Linked DNA regions of Lytechinus pictus. The protein of the gene in region 1 interacts with the protein of each later gene in a pairwise test. Links are inferred from orthologs where the notes say so. Each region holds a gene or a part of one and is shown in the gene's direction. Other genes may lie near its edges.

What was found.
Region 2: the proteins of nuclear transcription factor Y subunit gamma-like (region 1) and protein Dr1-like interact in binary tests that used the Homo sapiens proteins (3 or more experiments, as listed by UniProt). The link is inferred for Lytechinus pictus from reciprocal best matches to the Homo sapiens genes NFYC and DR1.

Annotation. Positions count from the first base shown.
Region 1 is NC_087261.1:4,122,345-4,138,726, forward strand, and holds the start of nuclear transcription factor Y subunit gamma-like, read left to right. Parts: upstream 1-8,278; 5' UTR 8,279-8,688; intron 8,689-11,298; 5' UTR 11,299-11,302; coding exon 11,303-11,407; intron 11,408-12,464; coding exon 12,465-12,539; intron 12,540-13,778; coding exon 13,779-13,892; intron 13,893-15,164; coding exon 15,165-15,260; intron 15,261-15,677; coding exon 15,678-15,857; intron 15,858-16,382. Other genes in the region: gamma-aminobutyric acid type B receptor subunit 1-like, read right to left, coding at 408-902. UniProt on the Homo sapiens protein: Component of the sequence-specific heterotrimeric transcription factor (NF-Y) which specifically recognizes a 5'-CCAAT-3' box motif found in the promoters of its target genes.
Region 2 is NC_087259.1:25,480,155-25,496,536, reverse strand, and holds the start of protein Dr1-like, read left to right. Parts: upstream 1-9,942; 5' UTR 9,943-10,196; intron 10,197-12,687; 5' UTR 12,688-12,696; coding exon 12,697-12,925; intron 12,926-13,243; coding exon 13,244-13,407; intron 13,408-15,894; coding exon 15,895-16,161; 3' UTR 16,162-16,382. UniProt on the Homo sapiens protein: The association of the DR1/DRAP1 heterodimer with TBP results in a functional repression of both activated and basal transcription of class II genes.

The DNA of each region.
Region 1 (16,382 bases):
CCCAACAACACTCATAAAATAAGAACAATAGCAAATATATTGAAATGAAGATGATAATGATAATGGAATATTAATGATAATACTGGTGATGAGATAATGATGATTTATAATATAATGATTTAAATAATGATAATAATAAAAATAAACACAAAAAATATAACAGAATAATAATAACCATTATCATCATCGTCATTATCATCATCACCATCATCATCATCATAAAAATGATAACGAAACAATACAACAGGAATAGTCAAAATTATGTAAATAAAAATAATGAAAGAAACGAGCAAAAAGAATGTGTCACCCCCATCATGACTTTTTGTCCATGTCCACGTGAATGGATGTTTTAGATTATGTCAAATATTGTAATAAATTGATGGATAAAGAAATAAAATCGTGTTTACCATTGTGTCGAGCGAATGTAAACGAAGTTCGTATTCGGGAAGGATGTTTTCATTCTCGTTGATGTGCTCGAGTGCGATCTCGGCTGATAACTTCGAACTTTCACCTCGCACTTCCTCCCCTAAGCTGATCGTCATCGGAAACAAGCCGAGAATATTCAGGATTCTCTTTCCATCCACGGATGACGGGGTCGAAAGCGATGAGGACAATGTGCTCTCAGCTGACGTCATTGGTGTCGATTCACTCGAGGGCGATGTCGACCTATACCATGTGGTGTCCTCAGTCGTGAAGCTCGAAGGTATGGAAGTCGTGGTCATCGATATCTCTTCGTTCGGCGTCTTGTTCCATGAGGACGTCGTGATGGACGTTGGTAATTCAGGTGTTATCCAGGATGGGGTAGTCGTTTCATTCGTCGTCTGGCTACTCGTCGTCATTCCCGATGTCATGGTGACTAGAAAGAGAAGCGCGATCATGCCTGACTTTGACGAAAACATCATTATCGGATCAAAAAAAAAACTAAAGTGATTTGAAGAGCACAGAGAATATTTAAATCATAATCCTATATATCGACGAAGCATAGATGTATTCCTTGATTGAGTGGTCACGTGAAACCAGCATTTACTTTATCGGCAATTACTGTCTCGATTGAAGAGTAGCCAAAGCTTCATCTGATACATGTCCAATCTATATGATGGTCTGATGCGAGATGGTTTGCTCTGGCTCACCGCTTCCTTATAAGTTCCCTATCATGCCTATCGTATATATCTTTCACTTTCCTCGCTCCGATAGAATATCCGCTCGCATCACTCCACTATATCTCATATTCTTCGTCTCTTTCTTCTTCTCTCTGTCATCGTGCTTTTGGTTGAACACAGCACGGTGCGATACCGTGGACTAAAATGGCATTTTCCCAACAGAAATACTACATTTTTACTACAGATTTCACATAGATCCCTCCCTCCCCCACTCCCCCTCCCCCTCCTTCCCCCTTCTCTCTGCTCACGCAGATGAAACATGAGATGGTATATAGATAGATTGAATCGTTTTGTATATTATTGTATTTTTGAAACAAAAAGGAGACGACTATCGTTCTCGACGGTAAAGTGGTAATCTTTTACATCTAAGAAAGCGAAGTCTCATTTTTATCTAATTCCGATTGTCGGCTTTATGCATGCATGCTAAGCGACTTTTCGCACTTTCTAGCATTTGTATATCTAAATGTTTACTCATCCCGGCAGTCAAATTGCATTGGCAATGTGGCCTAATTGATCTGATAACTTCCAATTTCTCGATCATGGCCTCATATCCTGCGAATTTAATGAAAATGGTTCCCTTGCAAATATTGTATGAATTAATGTTATGAAGAGTAAAGTGGGAGTTAAGTATAGGGAGGCATATAACGCATATAGGAAGGAGGTCTGTATTATAAGACTGCATTCTTCGGAATGACATAGACACACACAAAAAAAATTCAAGAATGTATGCGAGGGGTAAATGAAACAAAATGGCTAATGTTAATTCGAGGGTCTTTTGAAAATTTTGATTCGTATTGAAAGGAACAGGTGTAATAAGTTGGTTAGATTTTGTGAAGAATTGCAACAAAAAAATATTAATATTTATTTTGGGAGGGTGTTCCGCCCTTTTTACCTCTCAATTAGGTACGATTTGTAGGAGTAAATTGCCAATTCGTCTATTGCCAACTCGTTCACCCATTTAGTCTAATGTCTTTCCGTCCATCAACATTTCGTCTAACAACCATTTAGTTCAATAACCATACAATTTTGGTCCAATAATCACTTCGTCTAATATTTCGTCTCATACCTATAGTTGGTCTAATATCTCTTTTCCATTTTATTTATTTCTCCCAATCAACACTTAGTCCAATTAGACCAAGTGGTAAATGGACTAAACGGCTATTGATTGTACCAACTGAGTTAGACGAAACAGCGGTGAGTAGGCATACAGTTCAAATGGGTGATGGAATTCATAGGAGAGTCACGTATATTAGCACTTCAATTGGTCTGCTAAATTCATGTAGGGTTATGTTTAAGTTCTTAAATGGTTTGTAATAATTTCATTGAAAAAAATACAAAAGGATTTTTTTTCTTTGTGAAAACCAGTAGGCCTAATAGTAGATAAGATTAGAAAGATGGTATATTTAATTTGCAAAAAGCGTTTTTCACTAAGCACATTTCATAATTATTAGAAATTTGTTATTTTAGTTTTTTATATAGGCCTACACGTGGAGCGTTGTGGCCCAGTGGATTAGTCTTCGGACTTTGAAACAGAGGGTCGTGGGTTCGAATCCCAGCCATGGCGTAATTTCCTTCAGCAAGAAATTTATCCACACTGTGCTGCACTCAACCCAGGTGAGATGAATGTGTACCCGGTAGGAAGAAATTCCTTCAATGCTTTGAGCGCCTAGGTAGCCCAGCTAAAGCCGGGGTAATAATAATAGCAGGGCCCGCTGGAAGAACAGTTTTCGGAACTGAAGCGGCTTCCCTGGGTAAATATACCTGTATTATTATTATTATTATTATTACACTGGCTTGTATCATGCTTGTATCAAAGGGTACACTTCGTAATTCCGAAGCTTCGTAATTCCGAAGGTTCTTTATTCCGAAGGTTCGTAATTCCGAAACACGTAAATTGCCTGTACCTCGATGTTCGTTAATCCGAAAACGAAAAAGGGTTCGTTAATCCGAACATTTGTGGCGTTATTCCGAAGGTTCGTAACTCCGAAGGTTCGATAATCCGAAAACGAAATAAGGTTCGTTGTTCCGAAGGTTCGTTAGTCCGAAAACGAAATAAGGTTCGTTAATCATTTCGTTTTCGGACTAACGAACCTTCGGAATTACGAACCTCATTTTGCTTTCGGATTAATGAACCTTCGGAATTACGAACCTCATTTCGTTTTCGGACTAACGAACCTTCGGAATTACGAACCTTATTTCGTTTTCGGATTAACGAACCTTCGGAAATACGAACCTTCGGAATTACGAACCTTCGGAATTACGAACCTTCGGAATTACGAACCTTCGGAATAACCGAACCTTCGGAATAACAAAGCTTCGGAATTACGAATGTATGCGACACGGCATGTAGCCTTTCACAAGTTGGTATTTTCGTGAATATTAATTTTTACTTTATCTTGGTCATGTTAGTGTGGGACAAAATTTGCCGACAGTAAACAGTTTGCGTGACTACAGTACAGGTTTTCGACAAATAAGGTGGGGTACCGTTGAATTTCACCTGGAGCAAATATCTCCACTTATATATATTTCGCCAGAGCGATTTTGACGCTAAAAATGGGCGCAGTGGCGTAACTACGGGGGGGGGGGGGGGGGCATGGGGGCAAAAGAAACGTAGTGGGAAAGAAGAGATTATTGTTCATTATAATGTTTATGTTGTTATATTACATGAAAAACATTTTTTTTCATAACTTTATGAAACTTAATTTGCTCAGGGCCTTTGTCTTCATTGTTCCTGGTGCTCGCATTGTCTGTTTAACGAGATATATAACCATGTTGTACTAAAACCTCCCGTTTTTAAGTCAATATACACCAATATATTTCCTTGCACTTCGAGTTAATATTGTTTTTCCTGACTACTTAAAGTGATTGCGCCATTTGAAGGTCTTAATATAAAACAATTGTTTTTGTACTGTCATAACAATTACATGAGAACGCGTTTTTTTTTTCATTTCAATCACCATTTTAATATTGTTTTATGTACAATAGTCTGCTTCTTTTTCCTGACTACTTAAAGTGATTGCCCCATTTGAAGGTCTTAATTAAAACAAGTTTTTTTGTACTGTCATAACAATTACATGAGAACGTGTATTTTTTCTTCATTTTAATCACCATTTTAATATTGTTTTATGTACAATAGTCTGCTTCTTTTTCCTGACTACTTAAAGTGATTGCCCCATTTGAAGGTCTTAATTAAAAACAATTTTTTTGTACTGTCATAACAATTACATGAGAACGCGTATTTTTTTTTTCATTTTAATCACCATTTTAATATTGTTTTATGTACAATAGTCTGCTTCTTTTTCCTGACTACTTAAAGCAATTGCCCCATTTGAAGGTCTTAATTAAAAACAAGTTTTTTTGTACTGTCATAACAATTACATGAGAACGCGTATTTTTTTTCATTTTAATCACCAGGCACGAAATAAAACTTACTCAAATGCTCCCCCACGAACAGGGACCTGGGAACGATTTTTTCAGTGGGGGTCCTGAAATCTCACCTCAAAGGTGGGGGGGGGGGCACAATTGAGTTTTCCATAATTACACACACACACACTTCTAAGGGCACCACACACACACCCTCACACACACACATATATATATGTATATTTTTTTTTTTTGGGGGGGGGGGAATTTCATGTATTTTGTACTGAAAATTGAACATTTTGAGCAATGTTTGTGGTCCTGAACAAGATGCTTATGTAACAGATAATAACTGCGAACGTTATCAGCGTGAGCAGATATTTTTAATATACGCTCTGGCCTGATCGAAAGGGACGTGTTATAAGGATTGTTTGCCAGGCGCGGATCCAGGAGGGGGCCGAGCCGGCCCCGACCCCCCCCCCCTATTTTTTGACAACCTGCAGAAAAATGTACTCTTTAACTTGATAGAAACTATGAAAAACAGAAAGAAAAGTAAGAAAGAGGTATTATACCCATGATGTGTAATTCACAGCCTCGTAACAGCCGGCCCGACCCCGAAAGGTAACAGGAAGAATTGGAAAATAGACTTTATATAAAAAATTCGCTGGCGCTTCGCGCTCGCATTGCCTGTGTAATGAATCCCATTCAAGAGGATTAAATGGCACTTAATATATCCAGTTCTGAAATCAATTTGCACACGATATTTTAGCTCGCACATCAAGCTTTCATTATTTTGTTTGATTTACACAAATTGTTAATTGATACCAAAATTTTTAGCTCGCTATGCGCGCTTGCATTGTTTGATTTGTGAGATACTTATCCTCTTTGGAAATTCTTACCAAAATTTGTAAAAATACTCCTGTATCATGTCAGTATATCAAAAAATTAAGCTCGTGCTTCGTTTTTTAGACACACAGCTTGTTCTTTATTTTAATAAAAACGCGCTTAGACAGTCCAGTTCTCAGGTCGGAATATCAATAATTTTGAGCTCGCGCTTCACACTCTCATTATTTAATTGGTGATACTTGTATCCTCTTCATTAATCACTAAAAACAATTGAGTCCCTTTTCACGTTACTATAATAAAATTTCGGCTCGCGCTTCGCGCTCGCATTGTTTAGTTGGATAATATTGTATTGTTAAGTTGAACATATCTTTGTTCATGATTATAAAAACTGCTCAGAATCTTCAGGTCTAAGGACATAATATATCAAAGAATTTGAGCTCGCGCTTCGCACTCGCATTATATATCAATACCACATGAGATATCTTCTTTATAACAATAAAAACTAACATATACTTAAAACTTCAGTCTTTAGTTCGGACTACCCACTGAACCCCCCCCCCCCCCAAAAAAAAAAAATCAGATTATAGCAGCCAATCGAGGAAAATGTTGATGAAAATATTTTTCGGCCCCCCCCCCCCTATTGGCGAAAGCTGGCCTGGATCCGTCCGTGTAATTGCAGTTACCCATTAAGACGATACATATATCAACAATCAAATAATGCGAGCGCGAAGCGCGAGCTGAAAATTTTGACATTCCGACCTAAATACTGGACATTCTAAGCACTTTTTGTAATCATGAACAGGATAGGTATATATATATAACTATACAATTGATGTGAGCGCGAAGCGCGAGCGGACACAAAATTGAGATTTCAGACCAAAAAACGAGACATTCTAAGGACTTTTCTAATCATGAAGAGGATAGGTACATAATTATACAATTGATGCGAGCGCGAAGTGCGAGTGGAAATAAAAATGAGATTTCAGACCTAAATACAGGACATCTTAAGCACTTTTCTAATCATGAACAGGATAGGTATATAACTATACAATTGATGCGAGCGCAAAGCGCGAGCGGAAGCAAAATTGAGATTTCAGACCTATAAACGGGACATTCTATTCATGTTTTGTAAATCAAGAAAATGATGGGTAATTTGATATATTAATAATGTGAGCGCGAAGCGCGAGCAGAAATTTTTTGATATTCTGATCTGAAACTCCGCACTGAATGAAATATGGTTTGAACAGATAAAGAAAAATCAGACGAACATAAGAATAAAGATTTGATCAAAACCCGACAAGGAAATCGAAGTTATTGCATTTTAAAGATTAGCCTTATTCCGGTGAAACAGTTTTAAGCATGTCTTCATTTAATATTCAATGAGCAAACTGATGATGTCATATCCCCACTTGTTCTTTTGTATTTCATTATATAGAATTAGGTTTATTCAATATTTTCCCTTCAAGAACCAAAAACAGTTGAATTGACAACTGATTTAGTCCATTACATATTCTTTGCTGCAACTTATTTCATTATAAGGGAGACATATCATTCACACTGGTATGAAAAAAAATGAAACAATCTTGATTCCTTGTAATAACACAAGAAACAGGATAGTGGGAATTTTTTTTGCTTGGCAAATTTTCCAGGCCCTGGTCCCACTACCTTTGGGGACAGATTTCCGCCCATGTCAACCCACCTATTTAATATTTTTATTACATTTCTGTCATTTATCATACCTACCACTAGCTTTCCAGGAGGTGCTGCCTGTGGAAAATAATCAAATTTCACAGTCTTTTTCGCCCTGCCCCATGGCCCTGAAAAGCGGGGGTGCTGGGGATGAAGCACCCCCAGAATTTGGGGGTGCTTCATCCCCAGCACCCCCGCTTTTCAGGGCCATGGGGCAGGGCGAAAAAGACTGTGAAATTTGATTTCTATTGTCTGACTTGTAATTGTTAATACAAAACACTGGCGGTCGGGCGCGCGCACACTTGATTAGACATAAAATCTGGAAGTTTCAAGTCCAATCACACTCATATCCCATATGTCCCTCCCTGCTATCGAGTAGTGTGTAAACTATGGTAATCACGTATCGCGTGCGACCACGTCTGTATCGGAGTGCCGAGCGCGAGCTTGATTGAGTCGCGTTATAGGAGCGATGTTATTGGAATATGTGAAAGACTCTGTAAATGACTTGCGATTGTCGGATGTGATAATTATGTACATTATAACATATTAAACAAATACAGGGGGAACCTTATTTGGTAGGGGTGCTGCCTATGGAAAATAATACACGCAGCACCCCCAGCACCACCGCTTCCCAGGTCCCTGGCACGAATGAGAATTAAGAATATCTATCCCTCTTTTGTGCTTATCCCCTTTTTTCTATTTCTTTCTATGCTATGTATCAGGGGCCGCGGAACCAGGGGCTGGGGGGCCGCTTCACCCCCCCCCCACTTATTTCCAAACCCGTGTACAAAAACGTAAAAATTACCATTATGATTGTGATTGTTAGCATATGGTCAGCCCCCCCCCCCCCCACTTCCGCGGCCCCTGTGTATGTAATGTAATATATCATGCAAGCATAGTTTAAGTTTACTTTGCAATAATTATTATAATATACAAATTTGTAAATTGACGCCTTCAGCCTGTGCTACAGTATTGTTATGCACAAGAAAGTACGAATAAATTGTCGCATTATCGGAGCAATTTACGGCGGAGCAAATATTGACGGAGCAGATGTCGGCGGAGCAATCGTCGCGGAGCAATTTTCGGCGGAGCAGATGTCGGCGGGGCAATTATCGGCGGAGCAATTGTCGCGGAGCAATTGTCGTGTAACCGGAGCAAATGTCGGCGGAGCAAATATCGGCGGAGCAAGTGTCGACGGAGCAAATATCGGCGGAGCAAGTGTCGACGGAGCAAATATCGGTGGAGCAAGTGTAAACGGAGCAACTGTCGGCGGAGCACTTGTCCGGAGCAATTGTCTTATTTTGCGTAGCAAATGTCGGCGGAGCAATTGTCGGGTCACCCCCAATACATCTCAAATAGCCCAAGGCCCCATCCCTTTTAGGGCTAAGAAAAAAAAAAGTCCCCCCCCCCCCCAGCTTCGTGCAATTAATGCCGCTATTTTTTTCAGTGTGTGTTTCACGTTTGCGTGTAACAAGCATGCACGATGTGTACAAGTACGGTACCGTACATGTACACAGTATACCGTACCGGTACACATAATTATCGGGTATCATCGCATTCCATTTCCACATCGGCCAGCCTTTGACGCGACTCGACTACGAATTTGTCTTTGTAAGGTACTTTTTCTTGTATGGTAAGATATAATTGTGAATTTCCGTGCACTAGATGATGAATAATATTTAGTTGTAGCTTATAATGTTACTAATTTTGTATTTTCCTCTCTTTTTATCGCCGACTTTGCGTGCTTTGTAAGTAGCCCAATCGTTAGTCGATGTTGTCTGAGCGGTGTATTGGCATAGCGTGATTGGTTGGCGGTCCGTGCAACGGCTGTCAATGCATATGGTCATTGGCTCTCGCTTGCTCGGCCAACAGCCATTGAAAATTCCCCATTTCTCCGATGCCAACTTTGGGCAAATCACACGTTATGTGACCTCACAAAGGTGTCAATGGACTCCCAAAATGTTATGCTATATCTACAGATTGAGGATAAGGGAATGTTTTATTCAGATACACATGATTATTGGCCAAAATTGAAGATGATGTTTCCACTAAGGATTCAATTCGCGCCGCTTCTGATAATGACAGTCATTGACAAAACATTAACAGTGATGAATTAAAATGTGTGATTTACATACATCCAGACGTATGTGTGGGACTGAGTTTAAGAATTGAGTTGGTTTTTTATTCTCCTTTGTTAATATTCTTCGTGATGCTTGTTTGAGCAGGGAGAGCATTGGATATCAAAACCTTTGCCTTTCTACATTGTTCATTATTTATTTCAATTACCGGGCAGCTGGCAGTAAAGTCTAAAGACAAAGTTAGAGTTTCTGATCATGACATTAGTCATTAGACTAGTTAAAAGTTTTGTTATTTATTAAATTTAATGTTTTAACTTAAAAAAAATATGGTCTAACGACACGTTAGATCATGTTTAACCTTGGATCTAACTTTAGTAGATCAATATAAAAAAGATTGTGAATAAAAAAAATTAATGAACACACATACAATTCAGATCATCTTGAGCATGTTGACATGGTTGAGGGGTCTGTTTCATTAAACTTATTGCAATAACAGATTTGTAATAAACTGCAGTCTGTAATTAGAGCTACTGAATCTTTCAATATGAAATAAAATAAATTGTACATTTCTTTTTATAATTATTTTATTTATAGGGCCCCTATATTATTTATTTTCAATTTGATTGTTATTTATTTATTAAGATTAATCATTTGTATATGTATACAGAACAGCAGGGCAAGTCTTTATGAAGTATAAAATATGTAACTCAATAATGCAATGAATGTAGAACCTATATTACTGTTCAGCGCTGAGGTGATGATTCCACCCCCCCCCCCCCTTCCCTTTCATTCCCATTTTTCTATGTGCAATATTGGAAGATATTGGAAGATATTCTATGTTTATGTCTAATATTCTTTGATCTTATGTATAATTATTTGATGTCTAATTTTTAAATTTACAATTCTCACCACATTTCTTGCTTTCATCGTGCATAGAGACCTGTAGGCGTTATGCGTATTTAAGAACTGTACAATTATTATTATTTATTATGATTTATGTCATGGGAGTGGCATGTGAGAGGGTGCATCACTAGCGTATCCAGCACATGTAGGCCTACTGTATGGCAAAGAAATGTATGGGCCATTCACAAGCATAATAGAGTCACTATTGTCCGCAGACAATTGCGCCCCTAAAATGCTTTGTAGGATCTGATGCTAGATACGCCGCATGCCTCCAGGTAACATCAGTACGATTATGAAAGTTCATCTGTGTTGGTAAAAGATAACAATTTTGTTGAACTTTGGTTCACAACACAAAACAAAAACCAGAAAATAACGAAGAGTTACCTCGAAATTTTCGGCTGCTAACTGCAACCTTCGTCAGTGATGTGACCCGATTTGACCTTAGTGACGTAATGGTCGATCGGGTCGTAGACATTCGGAAGCTTGTATCGCCCCCCCGTCTCTGTTGAGAGAAGGTCTGAACGCCCGGATGTAGATGGCCTCTTTCTCACCTTTCTCGAAGTACCGCGGCTCCCTGTCCAGCACTTGTACCTTGTTGATGTCAACACGATGGCCAGGGGATTCGATGTGGATGTGCTGAGATACCTCGGAGGAAGTGGAGCTAGGGTGTCGATGTTCAAGGAAACATCAGTCATCAGTGTTAAATTCCACTTTTGAGCCTCTTGACGTAACCCATTTACCACTCCCACATTTCTTTGTATGATTGTTTCTCTGATGTATTACATGAATAAAGTGTTTTTTATATCGGTCAAATAATGATTATTATTACCGGTATTATTTTTATTTAGTAACCAATTATATTTATTCACAATCTACTCATCAAATTGCCAATTGGAAGTTCTTGGTAATCTCATTTGTCAAACATCAATTTCTTTTCTGTTTCAAAATTTCACCTCTCTGTTTCTTTTATTTTTTTCTCTTTCCACACATTGAGGCTATAAAATTGGATTCCCCTTTTAAAATCTATGTAAAATTTCATGTTATACCTTTTGTGTAGGCCTATACTGTAGACCCTGCATGCACTGTGTACATGTAAGTGACCCAATTTATCTTTGGCATTGGGCTCAAAATTTGAAGCTATTTTAAGGTGCTTCATAATTTTTTATTTCTATTGACAACAAATCAACACAAACAAATCATTCTTGACTTGGACTTATAACAAGGATTTGTATGAGATTATTTGTTTTGTTTTTCCCATCTAGAGTTATGGATTCCTCAGACGGTCCAACAGGCAGTAACCAAACTGAGTCTCAGATGCATCATGAACAGTTCTGGGAGAGACAGATGGAAACCATCAGGAACTTGAAGAATGTAAGATAGGCCTACCATCTTTAACCATAAAGCTGTAGTTTCTATGGTAGCCTATAATATAGGCAATTGTTATTTTTGCTTTTACCAGTCTGATGCTGTTTTACACAAAACACAAGTGATACGTCTGATGCACAAACAGTGAAGCAACCAATGCCGACACACACTACTGTCTTGCTTTTAGTAACTGTTTTCTTTTTATCTACATGTATGAACGTATGTTTCCAGTGCTTCATACAAAAAAAACCTGCACTGAATCATGGTTAAAAGAAAACAAAGACTTTAAAAAAAAATGGGAGTGTATAGGTGGTTGCTGCTTCACTGTTATAGGCCTCAGCACCGGACATATTGCTTACGTTTAGAGTGACAGCAAAAGATATACATGTAGCTGCAGCCTGTGCCTAGTGTTAATGAAAGATTGACCCTTGCCAGTCTCTCTGGTTGGTGGTTTGGGTCTTGCTATAATATTGGATTAAAAGTTTTCAGTGTAGTATTTCAAATTATCTGAAAGCCTCTTTCAGATCTGATACAACAAATCTCACCACATGTTTTCCATAGTGCTCAATTGTTGTGAGACAAATCATATGACTTATGTACCAAATGCTTTAAGTCTAAAAAGATGGTTCAAAGACGTTTTATGTCATATGAATTCATACCTGTTGTGCTTTCGTTAAATGATTAATCTATTATATAATAACCCACATTGATTGATTTCATGGCAATGTTCTTCATTTTATTTTCCAAAGTCATCAAGATCTACATGTATGAAATCTCCCCAAATCAGATTTCACCATATTATATACCCTTGATGTTGCTGCAGTTGTAAGATGAAATAAAAAAAATACCAATTTTTTTATCTCAGATAGATTGATGGTTCTGCTGATGTTTATTTGATCCGTAATCAAACATTACAATGAATAAAATGTTAGATGCATATATGTGGAGTCAGTCTGCAACAGATGAAGTTAAAGTGAATAATTAATTATTTTGTTGAATACTCTGAAATTTTCCTGCCACATGTCAATATGTCTTTTCATTTACGATCATAATATTTTGACAGAGTGATTTCAAGAAAGCGCAGGAACTTCCGTTAGCCAGAATCAAGAAGATTATGAAGCTAGACGAAGATGTCAAGGTATATAGTATTTATGATATAATTCTAAATTGGCTCTTTGTAATGATTAGTAATAGTACAGGACAACAATCCCTTAAATTTTATGGTATAATTTATTTTTATAGGGTATAGTCCTGCAGAGTAGAGAGGGCCCTTGGGGACTTGGTGGGGTGTGGAGAATGCTTGAAAACTTTGTTGTTTTTAATATTAATTATAATACTTTAGATGGCATTTGTAATGCGCCAAATCCACTCTGCAGAGTGCTCAAGGCGCTGATTGTGGTAATTGTCATGATATGGATGGGGGGGGGGTGAACAAATGGTGACTCTCTAAGATTAAAGGTAAATGCTAGTTTTGGTAACGATATCAAAATGAGTTCGTACAGAATCCAATGAAATGACCACCAAAGTGTCTGTTTGTATAAATAAAACGCATGTGCCAAAGGATTCTGGAAGAAATTGTTTAATTGCTGAGAAATCAGCAAATAAGCACAGGATTCGGGTAGAGCGTCGGGGCCCGACGCTCAAAGCAATAATTATACACAGTCCCACGTGCGCTTATCTGTGTTGGGGAAGTTCAGTCTGAACATTTTTCAGCGTAGATTTCAAGATTTCACAAAGTTCAGTTTATGTAACTGTACCAGATCTAGATCCTCGATGATATACTGACAATTAAGCCTGGTTTTACAGACTTTCTCATGAAATCAGTGTTTACTGCAACTACTGGAATTTCTCTTTAATATATGGTTTCTTTTTGAAATATTGTTTTTTTGTGTCATGTAGTATATAATTTTGAATGAATTTCTGCAAAACGGGTTCATCTGATTGCTTTGATAATATTCTAAATCGGTCACTTTATCCAAAAAATCAGCTCAGTTTATTCCCTGCATTACATGTAGCTGTAATTTCATGAAACTGATCATGAATTATTTCTGGAATTATGCATGCTCACACAAAATATGCCTGAGGTTGATTCAAAGTATTGTTATGTTCATCAATTACTTTTATAATTTCATTTTCAAATTATTCTTTATTGAAAAAAATGAATTGATGAGAATCTCATTTACACTGTATGATAATGAGATACTGTTCCTGGAATACGAGTCTAACATGTACTGATGAATTAAACTTATTCCCCTTATATTGTAAATACATGTATACATGTAGATTGTCATTCATTATAGTTAATCATTCAATATTGTATTTCTATCGCTGATGTGGTTTACGGTTTATTGTATTTCTGTTACTACCCATTATACAGATGATAAGTGCTGAAGCCCCAGTGTTATTTGCCAAGGCTGCTGAAATCTTCATTACAGAACTCTCACTCAGAGCGTGGCTTCATACAGAAGAAAATAAAAGAAGAACGCTTCAGGTTTGTCACATGACCCCATCTTACAAACAGTCGTGTTTCATCATGGATCCTTTCCATGGTTTGATCCATTCAAATCACATGAATCACATATTTACATATAATATCTTTTATTTTACCATTTGATTTCATTATAATAATAATAATATTCCGCATTTATATACCGGTAGCGCTTAACACATCGGAACGACGTCTCTAAGCGCTTTACAGATATATTATTACCCCGGTAATCGGATCCTTGCATGCCCGCATACAATGTATGCACCTTTTCCACTCCCTGGGGAGCATTCCAACAAGAGTTCCAAGACTCAATTGCTAGGCATACTACATAGGCTTTCGCATCCTTCCGGGTACCCATTTAACACCTGGGTGGAGAGTGGCAAATTGTGGATTGACGCCTTGCCAAAAGACGCTAGGCCATGGTGGGAATCGAACACACGACCCTCTGATTACAAGGCGAGAGTCAGAACCGCTACACCATGGCGCTTCTACATTCTCGCATTCTTCTTGTCTATTTATGCAATATTTGATTTAATGTGATTTATAATTTCACTTACACTCAGAACCCCTTTATGTAATTAGATCCATTATAATGAAAATCTTTGTGTAATTCAATCTATTATGAATATCTTTGTGTAATCGTTCTGTGTAATTTATGTATTGAATGCATTTTTTTTTTATTTATCTACTCTGTATAATATCTTTGTATGTTCTTATATTTTGTAAACGTATATTTCAGCCACTGGCTGCCAATCATTTATTGCCAATAAACCATTACTATTCTATTCTATTAGAATATTTGCAAAAGTTATCATGCATTTATGGACTTCAGCTCAAAACTGAATTTGTGTTGGGTTTGTACACAACTCGTGTTTTTTTAGCAAGTTATGGTATGACGTACATGTACACGTGTTGTGTGTGAGACACAACGGTAAGGAGTAATGGAATGTCAAGGTGAAAGCTTTTCATGTTACAGATTTTTTTTTTTTTAAATTCCCCAGTCCACCCCACCTGTGCAGTTAGGTTTAAATAAATTATACATTTCACACATTGATTGTAATTTGTATTGAAATTTTATTCGAATCCTGTGAAATCTGATGCTGGAAGGGGCTATTATGTTTTCACATACCATAACTTTAATTGAAAGATTGATGCTATGACAGATTATGTATTCAAGTGAACATGTTAAAACCAGACAGTGTGGTGTACAAGATACATTATTTTGAATGTATGCTCAATTTGTTACACATCAACTCTATGTGTTTCTATCAACAGAGGAATGACATCGCCATGGCAATCACCAAGTATGATCAGTTTGATTTCTTGATTGATATTGTACCCAGAGATGAACTCAAACCACCTAAGAGATCGGTAAGCAATTATTTGTTAACATTGGGAATCTCAGATATGTTGCCCACAACAGAATCATATTGTCCATAGCAGGCCTCAGTCATTACGTTTAACAGTATTTTGAAAAACAACCCAAACATTTAAACGATTTTAACTGGCGGGTTTTTTTTTTTTTATTCCCCAAAAGTAGCTGAAATTTCACATTTCACGTCTTTCCATATTTTCCATATGATTGCTTTGATTTTAGTTTGATACCATCTAGAAAATGAAGAATATTCCCTTCTTTCTAGACTCTAAAAGATAATTTGCAGTCGATGTCACACACGATCTACTACATGAAAATCTACATGTGGGACTGCAACACTATAGTCCCACATTACTTATCCTGATGCATTGATTTCTTATACTGATTCTCCTAGTGATGTTTTGTGTAAACAGGAGGGTCAGCTGCAGCAGACGGCCATACCGGCCGACCAAGTCCAGTATTATTTCAGCGTTCCTCAGCAGGGTCAGAACCAAGGGTCAAGTACCGTGCAAGTCCAGAACACCGCTCCTACTGTGGTCAGTGCTGCTAACACCTCAGCCGGTCAGCTTGCTACAACTCAACCACAAGTTCAGGTGACCTTTAGCTCTCGATTTAATATGTTGCCTTCCAGAGCTGGTTGCTCTCATTGGGTGGTATTCTGATGACCATGGTTTAATTAAACCTGGGTTAACTTGGACCATACTTTTATGGAGTGCCAGTTGTCAACTCATTCATCAATTAAAATTATTCTTATCCTGCTGCAAAAAGTTATCAAAATGTTAATTGAGTCGTGAAATGGGAAGACTATGAAAATAAAAAAAAATATGAATTTCAGTTAATTAATTGGTACATTATAATTGCCAGGTATATGGAAGAAATAATATGAAGCCAGCATTCCTCAGAAGTGTGGTTTAAGTTTCTATTTTAGACTAGGGATGTACCCAGGTTTAATTATCAGAATACAAACCTTTATGTCTTTGTATATATATATATATATAGTCTTAATTCAACTGTTATATGGTACAAAGCATTACATGTAGTTGTTGGATCTGAGAAAGGTCGCAGCGAACGTCCTCATTGTGAGATTCGACCGACAATGTCAGAGTGTCACATTCAAG
Region 2 (16,382 bases), on another chromosome or scaffold:
TTACATGAGAGCCAAGTTATATGATGAATATCTGTAATGAAAACTGACAGTGTAAGAAAATCAAGCATTTGTCCCATAGAAAAAAAGCCAAAGCCAAACATTGCCACCCTTATTTTGCCACACATGGTCATGGCATGCATGGAGATGTAACTGAGAACCTTGTTCATTGAATGAGTGCCATTGTCCAGCAATTAAAATAAAAATGAAGTACAAAACGTGATGAAAATATAATGGAGAAACAGTTCAAATCAACAAGTTCCAAAAAAACGTCAAGGAAACTGCACAGCCAACACGTACACTCGCACCCTTTGTTTGCACCTTTGCCAAAATGGCAGATCGCGTTGTTTTGTTAGGGAAATCATGTGACTGTGTCTGTGACGTCACGACCTCGCGAATATGCTCCGCTGAGACTTTGTCAGGGGCCTGTTGCATGACGAGATGAGCGATACGTAGGAACGTCCTAGGACCATTCTTCCGAGATAGGAAGATTGGCGACAAATCAGCGCTTTCCGTTTCACGAAGGCAATTTTGTCTTTAAAGTCCGCGACATCGTTTGATATCGATAGTATCGGAAAAATATTTAGTCTTCATCGTCACCTGAACCTTTTATTTCGGAATGACGACTTTTCATAAAATCAAATATTTCAATAAAAGGGGATCAAATAATGTTTTATTTATTACTGATTGTAGAATTGATGTATGGAGCGTACTTTATGAGGTAAAAAGAGAAAAAACTTTCAAGATTCACAAACATTACTGGATAAAATCAAAATTTTCATTATTTCCCTTATTTAGAACACGGTGTCCTTTTAGAGCCACCTTTCATTGATATTTCAAAGAAAGAGACCCTTGTCCGACATAAAAATTGATTTTACTAAACTAAGTAATTTCGACATTTTATTAGTTCAATATACTGATTTTTTATGAAATACATATATAGAATGATGATTTTGCAAATTATGCGTTAATATGTTATCTGTTGAGGTAAAAATAGGGTTTGAATGGAGTAAACAAAATCAACAGTGTCTGATTGTATGAGACTAAAAAGGAAAATATGAGAGGCTGCCTGTGAAAAATCTAATTTATTTATTTTATTTGTCAGATATAACGCAAGAAATACAAATGTGAGTGTTTAGAGTATAAACATACATCAGTAACCGAAGACAAGGAAAATATGAAAATTGCTGCAAACATGTCCAAGTGGAGAAAGTAGTGCTTTGCAATAACAATTAAAACATAGAAAAAGGTGTGTTATCCGCAATGGAAAAAATACTATTTACAGAAATAATGCTAAATATTACAATGATCATAAACGTTGGTCATCTTTAAAGTTGATCACTTAATTTATGAAAGCTTCAACATTTCAAAGTTGAGGAGTAGAGACTACATTATTGCTTTAACATTACATAGGGGCCGAAAGGGGCCTACCCTACGATTTAAAATGCACCTCTTCGTATGGACTTTCCATAATCTTTTCTTTATAATGAACTAGCTTATCTTCATTTGTAATAATTGTGATGGATTCGTAAGCTATAGGCCTAATCTGTATCTTAAATTCAATTAGCTATTTTGTTACTGCAGATTTGTTTTGCTTTGTTTCACTGTTTCACATCTCAAGTTAGCCCAAATCCGACAATTAATTTTGTGAAATAATGAAAATGAAATATAAATGAAAGATTTACCATGTTTAACATTTTAGTTTTGTATCTTTTTTTTTTGCTGAACGTTATAAACACGTTTTTTACCTTACATAATTTATTTTAAAGAAATTTGTTTTCATGTTGTTTAATTATCTATAATGCAGGGGCGTCGATCCATTTTTCAGATTGGGGGGGCATAATCATGAATCAACGTTCCAAAGGCGCTCGATCACACAAAACAAACAAACCCACACACACACACACAGGTATATATATATATTATATGTGACTCATGAGAAAGAGACACATATCTCACCAACAAATTAATGCGAGCGCAAAGCGCGAGCTGAATTTTTTTAGTATTCTGTCCTGAAAACAGGAAAAAGGTACTTGTTTAGGACTGATTGTAGTAACTCATGAGGAGAATACGTATCTCACTACACAGATAATGCGAGTGCTGAGAGTGAGCTTAAATTTCTTTATATTCTGAAATGAAAGCTTGATATTTTAAGCATTTATGGTACCAATGATTAAGACAGGTATCTAAAAGAACAATAGATGCGAGCGCGAAGCACGAGCTGAAAATTTTGATATTTCGATCTTTAAAAAATGACAGTTTAATGGACGTTTTTAATAAAAGAACAAGATATATATCCAACAAAAGATTATTGCAAATCGAAGCATGAGTTCTTTTAAAGTTTAGAACTGAAAACGGGACATTCTATTCACCTATTTAATCATGAAAAGTATGGGTTTTAGCTCAAGATATCATGCGAACCGCGAGCTGAAAATTTTGATATTTCGATCTTAAAAAAATGACAGTTTAATGGACGTTTTTAATAAAAGAACAAGATATATATCCAACAAAAGATTATTGCAAATCGAAGCAGGAGTTCTTTTGAGGTTTAGAACTGAAAACGGGACATTCTATTCACCTATTTAATCATGAAAAGTATGGGTTTTTGCTCAAGATAGCATGCGAGCGCGAAGCGCGAGCTGAAAATTTTTACATTCCAATTGGAAAAACTGACATTTTGAGCACGCGATTTTAAATGAAGAACGAGTTGTGTATCTCAATCTCGCTTGCTGATTTCTGTGTAACATTACAATCTTATTTTAGTTTTGCACAAAGCATGAGGGGTCAGAGAGATAGTGCCGCCCATTTTTCGATATTTCAAAAAAAAAATGGAAATGGTGTGGGGATAGGACGGAGAATAAAAGAAAACATATTAAAAAAATATTTGGGCCTACATTACCCCCGGACATAATGCCCGGAGACAGGGTTGTGATAAAAAACGTTTTTTATTAAAGGACAAGTCCACCCCAACAAAAACTTGATTTGAATAAAAAGAGAAAAATTCAACAAGCATAACACTGAAAATTTCATCATAATCGGATGTAAAATAAGAAAGTTATGACATTTTAAAGTTTCGCTTCATTTCACAAAACAGTTATATGCACATCTCGGTGGGTATGCAAATGAGGGAACTGATGACATCACTCACTCACTATTTCTTTTGTATTTTATTATATGATATATGAAATATTTTGATTTTCTCGTCATTGTCATGTGAAATGAAGTTTCATTCCTCCCTGAACACGTGGAATTCCATTATTTTAACATTTTGTGCTTCAGGCAAGGAGTTTCTAATCATCAAATTCGTAAAAATTGAAATATTGTATAGTTCAAACAATAAACAAGGCTCCACATTAACTTTTTTTGGTGGTGGCCCGTTCGGGCCACCAAAACCATCAAATAATTTTTTTGGGTGGCCCGATATTAAAGTTTGGTGGCCCGAAAAATATAAAGAAAAACATTAAAAATGAATAAAACAAACTTCCGAAATATTAATTCTGCAGCCACTACCAGTACCACTATGTTACTTTTACTTTATACATCTTGTATGTAAACCTTGTTCGCTGTTATTTTACTTTGCTAATTGATAAATGTTTCTATCATGGTAAACATGAAATGATTGAAAGAGAATAAATGAATTGTATTGTTCGCAGGTTGTGTGGACTTTTTTTTAAATCTTTGTATAGAGATAATGGTAAAGTAAATAAATAGTGCATAGCAAATTCAGATAGATACATGTACAAAACAATGGTTTTTCCTTCCTTCCTCTTTGAATCCTAAAACCTAGATTATGCATGCCCCAAATCCAGTTTATTTCTGTTTTCTCTTTTGCAGCATATTATAGAAGGAGAAAATCACAGAAAAATATGCTGCAAAATTAGAACAATGCATAAAAGGGGGAAACAAACGAAAATAATTTTCAAAAAGTATATTACAAAAAGAAAAAAAAATAATAAAAGAAATTAGTGAAATAAAATAAAAGAAAGAAAATGAAGAAAGAAAAAAACAAAGAACAGGGAAAAAAAGAAAAATAGAAAAGAAAAAAATTAGAGAGAAAAAAGAAAAGAAAATGAAAGAAAAATTAATAAAACAAACTTAATAAAAAAATGGGGAAAAGGGGAAAATTAAGAAGCCATTACATATATTTTTAAACAGCTGTGGCAACAGTCTATTCTGACTGGAATATAATTATTTAAAGCCAAGCAAATAATTTTCACTTACTTTTTGGGAATGGCACATTTTTATTTTTATATCCTTTAGTTTGTATTATTTCATTTTCAGTAGAAACATATTTTTTAATCAGGCATATTCAATGGGAAGGGGTATAAATGGTTTAACCACTGTCAAAAAAAAATGAAAGGAAAAAAAATATGAAAACGGCAAAAATTATATCTGGTGATTTTGGATAAAAAGTGTGAGAAAAGTCCTTCCCTATATTTGCCAAAATGTTGGGAAAAAAATCACATTTCATATCAATGAAATGCCTTCCCAAAGTATTTACTTTCTCAAGAGTGGTTTAAGAAGTCATTTATAAACAAGAAAGAAAGAAACTGTCTGTTTGTTTTTGGCTAGAAAATACACAGCTTCGAAAGAAACCAAGTATCAACATACATACAAATGCACACGTGGGACTGTGATGTACTTGCCTATGTGTTTTTATGTGTATTAATTCATGTGGAAATCGGTCTTTTTGAGTCAAAAGAGAGGTCATAATTCCTCTTCTTAATACTTGCAAATAATCAGGGTCCACCAGATTTTCGTAATATAGACTGTAGAATTGCATTTCATTGGTGTAAAATGTGACTTTGACTGAGATTTTCAAAGTTCTGTGGAAGATTTCTCAGCAAATTGCTCAAAAATGTGATTCCGTGTTGAAAGTCTATATGCAAATTATGCAAGGCTCCACATTAACTTTTTTTGGTGGTGGCCCGTTCGGGCCACCAAAACCATCAAATATTTTTTTTTGGTGGCCCGATATTAAAGTTTGGTGGCCCGAAAAATATAAAGAAAAACATTAAAAATGAATAAAACAAACTTCTGAAATATTAATTCTGCAGCCACTACCACTAAGTTCCTTTCACTTTATACATCTTGCATGTAAACCTTGTTTGCTGTTATTTTACTTTGCTAATTGATAATTGTTTCTATCGTTGTAAAAATGAAATGATTGAAAGTGAATAAATGAATTGTATTGTTCGCAGGTTGTGTGGACTTTTTTTAAAATCTCTGTATAGAGATAATGGTAAAGTAAATAAATAGTGCATAGCAAACCCAGATAGATGTACAAAACAATGGTTTTTCCTTCCTTCCTCTTTGAATCCTAAAACCTAGATTATGCATGCCCCAAATCCAGTTTATTTCTGTTTTCTCTTATGCAGCATATTATAGAAGGAGAAAATCACAGAAAAATATGCTGCAAAATTAGAACAATGCATAAAAGGGAGAAACAAACGAAAATAATTTTCAAAAAGTATATAACAAAAAGAAAACAAAAATAATAAAAGAAATTAGTGAAATAACACAAAAGAAAGAAAATGAAGAAAGAAAAAAACAAAGAACAGGGAAAAAAAGAAAAAAAGAAAAGAAAAAAATTTGAGAGAAAAAAGAAAAGAGAATGAAAGAAAAATTAATAAAACAAAGTTAATATAAAAATGGAGAAAAGGGGAAAATTAAGAAGCCATTACATATATTTTTAACAGCTGTGGCAAGTCTATTCTGACTGGAATATAATAAAAAGCCAAGCATATAATTTTCACTTACCTTTTGGGAATGGCACATTTCTATTTTTATATCCTTTAGATTGTATTATTTTATTTTCAGTAGAAACATATTTTTTAATCAGGCATATTCAATGGGAAGGGGTATAAATGGTTTAACCACTGTCAAAAAAAAATGAAAGAAAAAAAAAGAAAACGGCAAAAACTATATCTGGAAAAAAAGTGTGAGAAAAGTCCTTCCCTACATTTGCCAAAATGTTGGGGAAAAAATCTCATTTCATATCAATGAAATGCCTTCCCAAAGTATTTACTTTCTCAAGAGTGGTTTAAGAAGTCATTTATAAACAAGAAAGAAAGAAACTGTCTGTTTGTTTAAGGCTAGAAAATACACAGCTTCGAAAGAAACCAAGTATCAACATACATACAAATGCACACGTGGGACTGTGATGTACTTGCCTATGTGTTTTTATGTGTATTAATTCATGTGGAAATCGGTCTTTTTGAGTCAAAAGAGAGGTCATAATTCCTCTTCTTAATACTTGCAAATAATCAGGGTACACCAGATTTTCGTAATATAGACTGTAGAATTGCATTTCATTGGTGTAAAAGGTGACTTTGACTTAGATTTTCAAAGTTCTGTGGAAGATTTCTCAGCAGCAACATTTTTTATCGCAGCTCCCTGAGTCTGAATAGGCTGAGCTAGATCTAGAGCATGCACAGTACAGCTGTATGCAGTGGATTCATGCAAAGCTCACGCCAGCCGGCCGGCGCGGCTGGCTGGATAATAGCTACTGTATGCTATAGCTGTAGGCCTAATATGCAAACTGTGTGTGTGTGTATTTGTGTGTAGATCAACAAAAAAGGCGCATGACGAACTGGCTTGCAATTTGAGCTGTAGAAAGTTGATAAATGCGTGCAAAATTGGGAGAAAAATTGCGCTACTTTGAAAATTATTGGTTGCCCGATTCGGGCCACCAAAACTTAACATTTTATCAATAATGGTTGCCCGAGGTGAATTTTTGGTGGCCCCGGGCCACCGGGCCACCACTAATGTCGAGCCTTGAATTATGTTTTTCAACTAAAAATCATAAATGTATGATTATTTTTACTTTTGGTTTAAATGGATTTATTTCATGCTATTTATGATTGCAAAAGGGTCCCCGACTAAGTTCATTTGAAAAAACAATAAAAACAAAAGTTTCAAAAACAAAGAAATACATAAGAGTTAAAAAAAAATTTAAAAAATTGATACTGCCACCAGAAATTAGCATTCTACTAGCTACGTAAATTGAGTTAAAGGCAAATACATACACAAAAAAACTAATTTAGGCAAAATTTCATACCCTTATTTGCATAAATAAAAAAATATAAATTATCAATTTTTGGGAAAATTTTATTATGCAGTCTTGAAGTTTACATCCGGCTCTACGCGCGTGCAAATTTTTGCGGTTATTGTGCAATCAGTATATTCCGGTCTGAAATAGCCCAGTTAAGATAGGGTTAAGGTCCCCTTGGATTGTTAGGGTTAAGGTTTGCTAGCTGACTATCTTATTCTGTTTAAATTACTTTTCTTCATCTATACAAAGCGCAAAGTTTCACCTGCTTTCGTGTGTACTTCAAGAGTACAATGTCAGTTTTACAGTCTACATTGTATTTGTTTACAGTATATAGGCTTGTGCAACACTTCCATTTCATTGAAGTACTACGATTACATGTAGTATACATGTATTTGAGCTTATTTCAAATAGTGTTTCTTTCCCTGTCCAAAAAGTGAGCACAACACTCAGATATAGACTCTATTAATATGGAATGATGTGCACAATTGAACAGGGAGGAAAGAAACATGATAAAGTAATGGAGAAAGGGAGAATAAAGGGGGAAAGAGAAAGAGAGTTGGGAGAAAGAGTTTTTATTAGTTATAACTTAAAAGAAAATAGTACACCACTTCAGAAATAAAAGTATTTAAAAAATTAATCTAAAATCACATCCATGCAAATTTACAACACACAAGCCTATGCGGTGTTTTAAAACACGTTTTTTTGTAAAAAAAACGGGTGTTTTAAAACGCGTTTTAAAACATGTTTTAAAACACACCGTTTAAAACGTGCCAACCCTGCCCGGAGAAGTTAAAATGACATCTGTTTTTTGGTCGTCTTGCCGTGCAAAAAGACGACCTGAAATTGATGACAACTAGCCCCCATATTATAACAAATAACTTGGCGCCATCCAAGATAAAATGCATCAGTGTGCAACCCCAAAAATGTTTAGAGGTGATATGTCAGTGTGGCTTGCCGTAAACGCATTTTCTCTCAATGCCGACGGTGGCGGGCAGTGTGCAAAGAAGATCATGCCTACGTAGGACATGTCTGGAGGTGTCTTTCCAAGGACCATTCTTCGTATCGCCCAAATCGGCTTTGTGAAAAAGTTGGGCGATATCTCGTTCTTATCTTACGTAGAATCAGTAGAGGCGCTGGTCAGAAAATTGGGATCGTTCCAGTTTACAGGGACTGTCTCAGTTTATAAGGATTTCTTCACACAAGAAATCTAGGAAAGTTCATTCACCTGTCAAGTGCCGACACCAATCAAGTGTGCTAGTCAATGTAAACATTATCAGGTTTCAAAACATGATTATTGGAAGACGGTAAGTCATGAAAAATAGACGGTGAACTGGGGGGAATTGAGGTCACTGAATCTATTTTTAGCACTCACAATTCCCGTAATTGCTGTCTTTGTCCCGTAGGGGGAAGTGAAAAAAAAACGTCCCCATAAACAAGGACAGTCTCAATTTATCAAGACATGATTTGTCTTGGTTTATGAGGATATCCTTGTTTTCTGGGACAATCCCAATTTTTGGACCAGCGCCTCTACTGAGAATGGTTCTACGAAAGACCCTTCCATGCAACAGGCCCCTGACTCCACGGTATTCCCTCCATCAATGGACCGATGACGGCCACTGGGCCCGTAATGGTGGAGCAAACAACGACGACATGATGCAAGACTCAGCGCAGCCTGCACTTTGCAGGCGTAGGCCGTAGCCGCCTACTACGCCGCACCGCCGGAGCCGTGTACCGGTTAGCCTCTTGTCGAGGCCCTGGCGGCTGCTTCCCCAGCGAAGCGAGGGCTTTCCTAATTCGCGAAGCGAATTAGGCCTGGCGCGAGCCAGGGCCTCTTGACATCTGAACTGAATTATATATTCATGAGGAACGTCTTCCTAATGAATATACATGAGTCATGATATTACCGGTCACCGAGTAAACCAATGAAATGTCAGAGCTGTTTCGTCTTGGGTTCGGAATACTATATAGTAGTCCACTATTCTGCAGGGGATTCATTTAATTGCGGGACAATAAAGGGGATATAACCAGCAAAATGCTACAAGTAGTGGTACTACTATTACTACTACTATTACTACTGGCCGTAACAGACCCATCACCGCCCCGAAACTTCCCGGGAGATACTGCTCAGCCGCTGGTCAGACTCGAGTCAACTCCCAGCAACTCCCCCCAGCTTCCCTCACTGCACTGCACAGCGGAGATCGATAATCGACGCCCCGGATCGACCGGTGGAATCGCATGAAATATTACATTTTTTCCATATCCTGTGGGTAGATTTACAAAGACATCTCGTCCTTTCAGTGCAGAGTTAATTTCATCGACTTGCAAATCCTTAAATCGGTCAATATTCAGCGTTTTAGAGGCGTATTCAGTGCTCTTTGATATTTCGTCGTCACTCTTCGCCAAGAATCCAAGGGTCGCCATTCAAGAGGAGCTCATGAATATTTAATATGACGTCATAGCAGCTCGCGCTCCTCATTGGATGATTTTCACCGACCAGTTTTTGGTCGGTGAATTGGTAAAAACAATAAAAAACAAAAGAAAGTCGGTGAAATTCGGTACAGATGTCCAGAGGCCCTGTCTCGCGGCGCTCTGCTTCGCTCTCTCCCGTGCTTTGCCATGTTCGCTCGGAAAGAAGCCGACAGGGCCTCGACAAGAGGCTATGTACCGGTAGGATAGGCCCCATGGCCTATTCTGCTGCATGCGCATGCCCGGCCCGTCGCGGTACGAATCATGTCTCATTAAACTGTCTCAAATTTGCTCATAAACTCTTGCACTCACTAAAAACACAAACTAACGGTCAGGAAAAGAGATGGAAATTAAAAAGCTATCTCGATCACTCACCAAAACTAAAGCAGCCCTTTGAGGAATTAACCTCTTCTTGCCTTGAACGGCTCGGACCGTCGCTCTTCCAAGTGCAGCCATAACACATATGACGTAATATAGGTCTCGGGGACAACGGGTGCCGCAGCCGGACCGACTGGTCTGGCTGGCCGCGCCGCGCCTAGCCTGGGCATAGAGACCGACGCATCATCGATTGGTCCGCCGGCCTTGACTTTATCTCGCTCTCGTTCGATTGTTTCTGCAGCTTTAACTCGGGTTTCAGGACAGGCACGTTTTCATAGCAAGGTGTCGTCAGCTTAGCAAGGTCAAGTTGGTTCGATTCAAATTGCATGCCTTAAAAACTATTTTGTTTTATTTATTTCTTCATTTTTTTTTGCCGAGTGGGTTGAGCCAGCTCAGCCTCAGAGTCAGACTCAGAGGCTCAGGCCTCAGCCTCTGCAGCCGGACCACCATGGCATTTCTATTGCTGGCGTGTGCAATTTCTTGTGCACACATTTCCAATGGGGATATCACAATTCTGTGACTGCGCACCTATAATTTTATAAATGATTTTATTATTATTTTTATTTCACAAAAAAAATCAGTCGATAGTGTTCCTTATATTCTCATGAGTTAGCATGGTTAGTGTGCCAAAAATCCTCATAAAATCAAAAATTTGAGAGAAATAATAGGCCTAACGTTAGGGCTAGGCGATACAAAGTCAAAGTCAAAGATAGATCTTAATTAGTTACTCTAGACTTAGTCTAACATTACAAGTTAGACTTAAGTTTAAAGACTTTATATTGAACTAAATTTGAAGTAAAAAGTATTCTTTCTTGACTCTACTCTAGTCTTGTTATAAACAGTGGATGTGTAAACTCCTGTAAATGTACAGGGGCCGCGGAACCGGGGGAGCTGGGGGGGCTTCAGCCCCCCCACTTTTTTCCAAAGCCGTGTACAAAAACGAAAAAATGACCATATGATTGTGATTTTTAGCATGATCAGCCCCCCCCCACTTTTGGCTCAGCCCCCCCACTTTGAAAACCGATCCGCGGCCCCTGATGTATACTATTACTATAGTGATGCATATGATAAACAATATATGTTTGGTTACTTTGGTTTGAAATGAATTAATTCAATTCAGTTCAATTTTTTTTCCTTCATTTTATACGCCTGTCCTAGACGGGACGTATGGTATCACGCTCGGTGTCCGTTGGTCCTTCCGTCTGTCAGTTAACTTTTCCTTGTAAACACGATAACTTCAGTTTTACTTAACCTAGGCTCATATAATTTGGTGTGTATGAGTAGCATGGATCCCAGGAAGCCTAATGATTTTGAGGTCAAAAGGTCAAGGTCACACTGACATGTTTTCATCTTGCCCTTCTGTCGTCCTTGTATATGTGATAACTTTACTTTAACTTTAGTTTAACTTAACCTAGGATCATATAATTTGGTGTGTATAACATGGATCCCTGGAAGCCTATTGATTTTGAGGTCAAAAGGTCAAGGTCACACTCACATGTTTTCATCTTATCCTTCTGAAGTCCTTGAAACATGATAACTTTAGTTTAACTTAACCTAGCCTAGGCTCATATAAATTGGTGTGTATGAACTAGCATGGATCCCAGGAATCCTATTTATTTTGAGGTCAAAAAGTCAAAGGTCAAGATCACAGTGACATGTTTTCATCTTACCCTTCTGAAGTCCTTGTTAATGCGCTAACTTAAGTTGAACTTAACCTAGGCTCATAAAATTTGTTGTGTATGAACTAGCATAGATCCCAGTAATTACCAGTACTTCTATTGATTTTGAGGTCAGAAGGTCAAAGGTGAAGTCGCTACCTTCCACTTTTCTTGCTTGACCATAACTCCATTTTCCGCGTTACAGGCGGGCGTATTATGTGCTCGCCTTAGCGACACTCTTGTTGTCTTTGATAGATAGATAAATGGTTTATTGATAAAAATCATGACATCATCGTGGCTAAGGCCGAATTGCAATGTATTACAAGGTAATAATGACACAAAAATATATTCAAACAGTAACACAGATAATTACAAAATAAATAATATGGCCTTTGTTCCCTGAGATAATCCAGTGCATGTGTCCTATTGAAAAGAACATTTTACTGTTGATACCCTGTTTTAATGGCCTTGGATGCCCTCTGAAGTGAGCACTGCCTTCCTTCCCTTTGCATTGCCCCAATGAATTCTTAATTTGAGCCCTGTAGTCAGTCAAGAAGCCTTTGGGCGATTCCATGCTAGAAAAATCAGCTATTTTCGCAACATTTTTCAACCTATTGTCCAAACAAACAAAGAACTTAAATTTGTTTTGTGGTAATAATAGAGTACTACTGGGTAGACATATGAAAAATGACAACCAACAAATATATGCTGTCCATGGGTGAATTAGAGATGAAACTGTTGCGTGTCGTACGGGACATTTCTGAGTCCCGTACGGGTCGACACACAACTTGTTTGCCCTTAATTCAGCCATAATCAAATATTTTTTGTCGGTAATCAGGTTTTCACATGACTATCCGCTATAACTTTATTATTGACCAAAAATAATTTTTTTATTGCTCAAGCAATCAGCTAAGAGACTAGAAATTGTTGACAAAATGTCCCGTACGACACGTATGGAATCGCCCCATTACATATACTTGTAGAAAAAAAGTTATGGTATTCCTTCCTTATATATCAAGGAGTGTTTGAAATAATTCCAATTATTTGGGTAATAGTAATTGCAATGTAAAGCGCTTAGAAATACCATATATTACAGTATATAAATGTAACTCTATTGATTACCGTATTTTGCAGGTAGTAACGATGGCAGATTCACAATCTTCTCAACTTCCAGAGGATGAGCTAACTGTCCCTCGTGCCCCTCTTAACAAGATGATCAAGGAATTACTACCCAATGTCAGAGTTGCTAATGATGCGAGAGAACTCATTTTAAATTGCTGTACTGAGTTTATTCAGTTGGTTTCATCAGAAGCAAATGATATTTGCAATAAGCAGGCCAAGAAGACGATATCGCCAGAACATGCGCTTCAAGGTAAATGGTTTCAGAGTAGGGGATGGGTCATAAAGCTGTTCATAAGTTAGGAGTAATTTACAACAACTGGTTACCTGGGATGAGAAACTAAAGGAATACCTATGAGAATCTAATGTCGTTACAAGCCGTTCGTAAACTCACTCGTAACTTATGAAAAGCTTTATCCACCAGAGGCACTAACAGGTTACATTGTTAATGCATTTGACCAGAATGAAAATGTGTAGAATTTGACTGGCATCGTGCAATGCATGCATTCATTGTCAAAATTTATGCTCACAATTTTAGGTTTTCTCTTGTTTGTTTTTAAATGATTTGCAGCATTGGACAGCCTAGGGTTTGGAGATTACCTGCAAGAGTGCAAGTCAGTTCTAGAGGAATGTAAGACGGTGGCAGCAAAGAAGAGGAAAGCAAGCACTCGTCTTGAGAATCTTGGTATACCTGAAGAAGAACTCCTTAGACAACAGCAGGAGCTCTTTGAAAAGGTACTTTCAACAGCTTTGCACTTCAAAGGCTACTATAAACTCAACAAAAGGGAAGAACATACATAAAGTTTGCCATTTGGAGCCTAATTAGGGGGGGAGGTAATAGTGTAACATAAAGAGTTACACTTAATAATAATATCCACAATTTATAGTGAATTTTTTTTTATGGTCTGCCATAGATTAATACAGATATGCTTTAGTAATTGAACAATTGTATCTTTTCTTTAATAGAGCCCATTAATATGTAATGGAGAAGCATTTGAATATTTGATATTAGTATTCAAGATTCAAGATTGTTTTATTGGTCCATGAATGCTAGGCATACAGAGAAATTTAGTTTCCAATGGCTTTAAACTCATAACATACACACAAAAATGCAAAATAAAATATATCATAGCAATCTAACTCTACATAAAAAAACAATACAACTTTAGTGAAAACATTTCTACAATAGGTTGATAACCCTTAGAATTCATGATTCGAAATTCATAAATTATAAGAAATAGGTGATGAGATGTCTGCATGCTGCTAACCCCACCCCCCCCCCCCCATCCTAGTATGCGGTATATAATCATCATAAATTGACACTTACAAAACACCCATTCATAAGAGAGTGATAGATATGTAGGAAAATATGAAAGGAAGCTGGAGGGAAAGGTAAAGTGTAGAAGAAGAAGAGAAAGAAAGGGAAAAGAAAGAACAAGAAAGGAGAGAAAAGGGGAAAAAGAAGAAGAACTGAGTAGGAGGAGAAGAAGAAGAAGATATCTCATCATGTTACTTTTGAGTTATACACATGTATAGAATCAGGAATAAAGGAGTACCGGTAGCGGGAAAGGCGTGTGCGGGGGGGGGGGGGGGGGGGGGGGGACACAGCCGTATTCCTGAACCATTAAACCGGAACCAATTATTGAGGAGGTGGGTCTTGTCTGCCATTATGGTATGTACTTTGGCAAGTATGCGTTCTTCGTAAATTGCTTGGACAGGGGACAAATCCATGCCTATCGTCCTTTGTGCAATTTGTCGAATCTGGTCTATTCTTTGTTTTTGCTCGTTTGACATATTTCCGAAAGTACATACCAGGTTGCAAGTTATTACACTTTTGATGATTGATTGATAGAACAGTTTCAGTATAGTTTTATCGATGTGAAAACTTCTAAGTTTTCGCAAGAAAAGCATCCTTTGATTTGTTTTCTTTTGTACTGATAGACAATTTTGCTTCCATGAGAGCTTGTCATCAATGATTGTTCCGAGGTATTTGTACTCATGTACCTGCTCAATGACATCTCCGTGAACACGGAGTGGTTCATGAATTTTATCACCCTTCCGAAAATCAATGATAATTTCTTTGGTTTTACTGGTATTCAATATCAGGTAATGATCGTCACACCAACTGACAAAATCATTTATCTGTGAGATATATTCATTAGGATCATTGAACAGGTAGCCTGTTATCACGGTATCGTTGGCATACTTGATTACACTGCGGGATGTCTTCGTACCTATGTAATTACTCGTGTACAACGAGAAAAGAACGGGAGATAATACGCAACCTTGGGGGGCTCCAATTTGCGTCACCAACTCTCTTGACTGACAATTCCCAGCTTTAACTGATTGAATTCTCGAGCAAAGGAAATTTTGGATACATTAAATAAGTCTGGGGTTTACATTCATATCTATCAACATTTGTACAAGGCAATGAGGTGCGATCGTATTGAATGCACTCGACAAGTCAAGAAATAGTGATCGCGTGTACGACTTTGCACGATCGAGATGCTCATATATCTTATGGAGGAAAACAAGGGTAGCATCTTCTACACTTCTCTTTGACCGATAGGCAAATTGACATGGGTCTATTTGACACTGTGATTCTTTTAACAATTGGACAAGAAAGAGCCTCTCGAAACATTTCATATTATTTGATGTTAGTGCTACCGGCCGGAAATCGTTTGGTTCACGGGCTTTGTTTATCTTAGGGATTGGTATAATTGTGGAGGTTTTCCACAATTTCGGGATAACCCCTGTATCCAAACACAGTTGAAAAATATGACATAGAATTGGAGATAACTGTTGGTTACATAATCAGCTCCTACATGTGCACACTGACCTTGGTGCCGTTTCATAAAGCTGTTTGTAAGTTAAGAGCGACTTTAAGAACGACTGATGATCCTTTCTTATGTGCCAAACCATCGCCTGTGAATATACTGTTTACCACAAGAAAGGATCACCAGTCGTTCTTAAAGTCGCTCTTAACTTACGGACAGCTTTATGAAACACCCACCAGGATGTGAATTAAATTGTATTTGAAATAAAGAGGGATATTTAAAATTATCTAACTTAACCTTTTACATCAGATTTTGATGACATTTTCTGCATGTCTGTGTGATTTTTCTGTATGTGTTCAAATCAACTTGTTCTTGAGATGGACTTGGCCTTGAAAGTTGTTGATTTGTGTTAACTTCATACATGTATGTGATTGAATTCTTACAGGCAAGACAAGAGCAAGCAGCAATAGAACACCAAGAGTGGTTGCAGTTGCAGGCAGCACAGGCAGCTCAGGCTCAGCAACAAGGTCTCCAACCAGGGATGCAACCAGGAATGCAACCTGTTGCTGCAACAGGGGGAAACTTGCAATCTTATCAAGTTGCTGAGGGCATACCCCAGCATGGAGCTGTGCCTTCTCTGAATCTTCCCAGCAGTGGGGCAGGGCAACTACCCACAGAGTCCGCCAGCAACCAACAGATCCCGCCCTCATGACGTTCCTAATCTAGGAGGGGGCACTCAATTCTGATTTAATCAGAGGATTTTTAATGCAGAGACATTAAGTGTTGCATCTGTGGAGAAGAAATCTGGCACCTTCTCAACTGATAAGGTTCCTTCCCCATTCATCACGGTCACCTGGGGTAGGTTTCGTAAACACGGATATATTCAGAACAAGTTGTTATGATAACAAGTTTGCAATAACAGTTTAAAGCTAC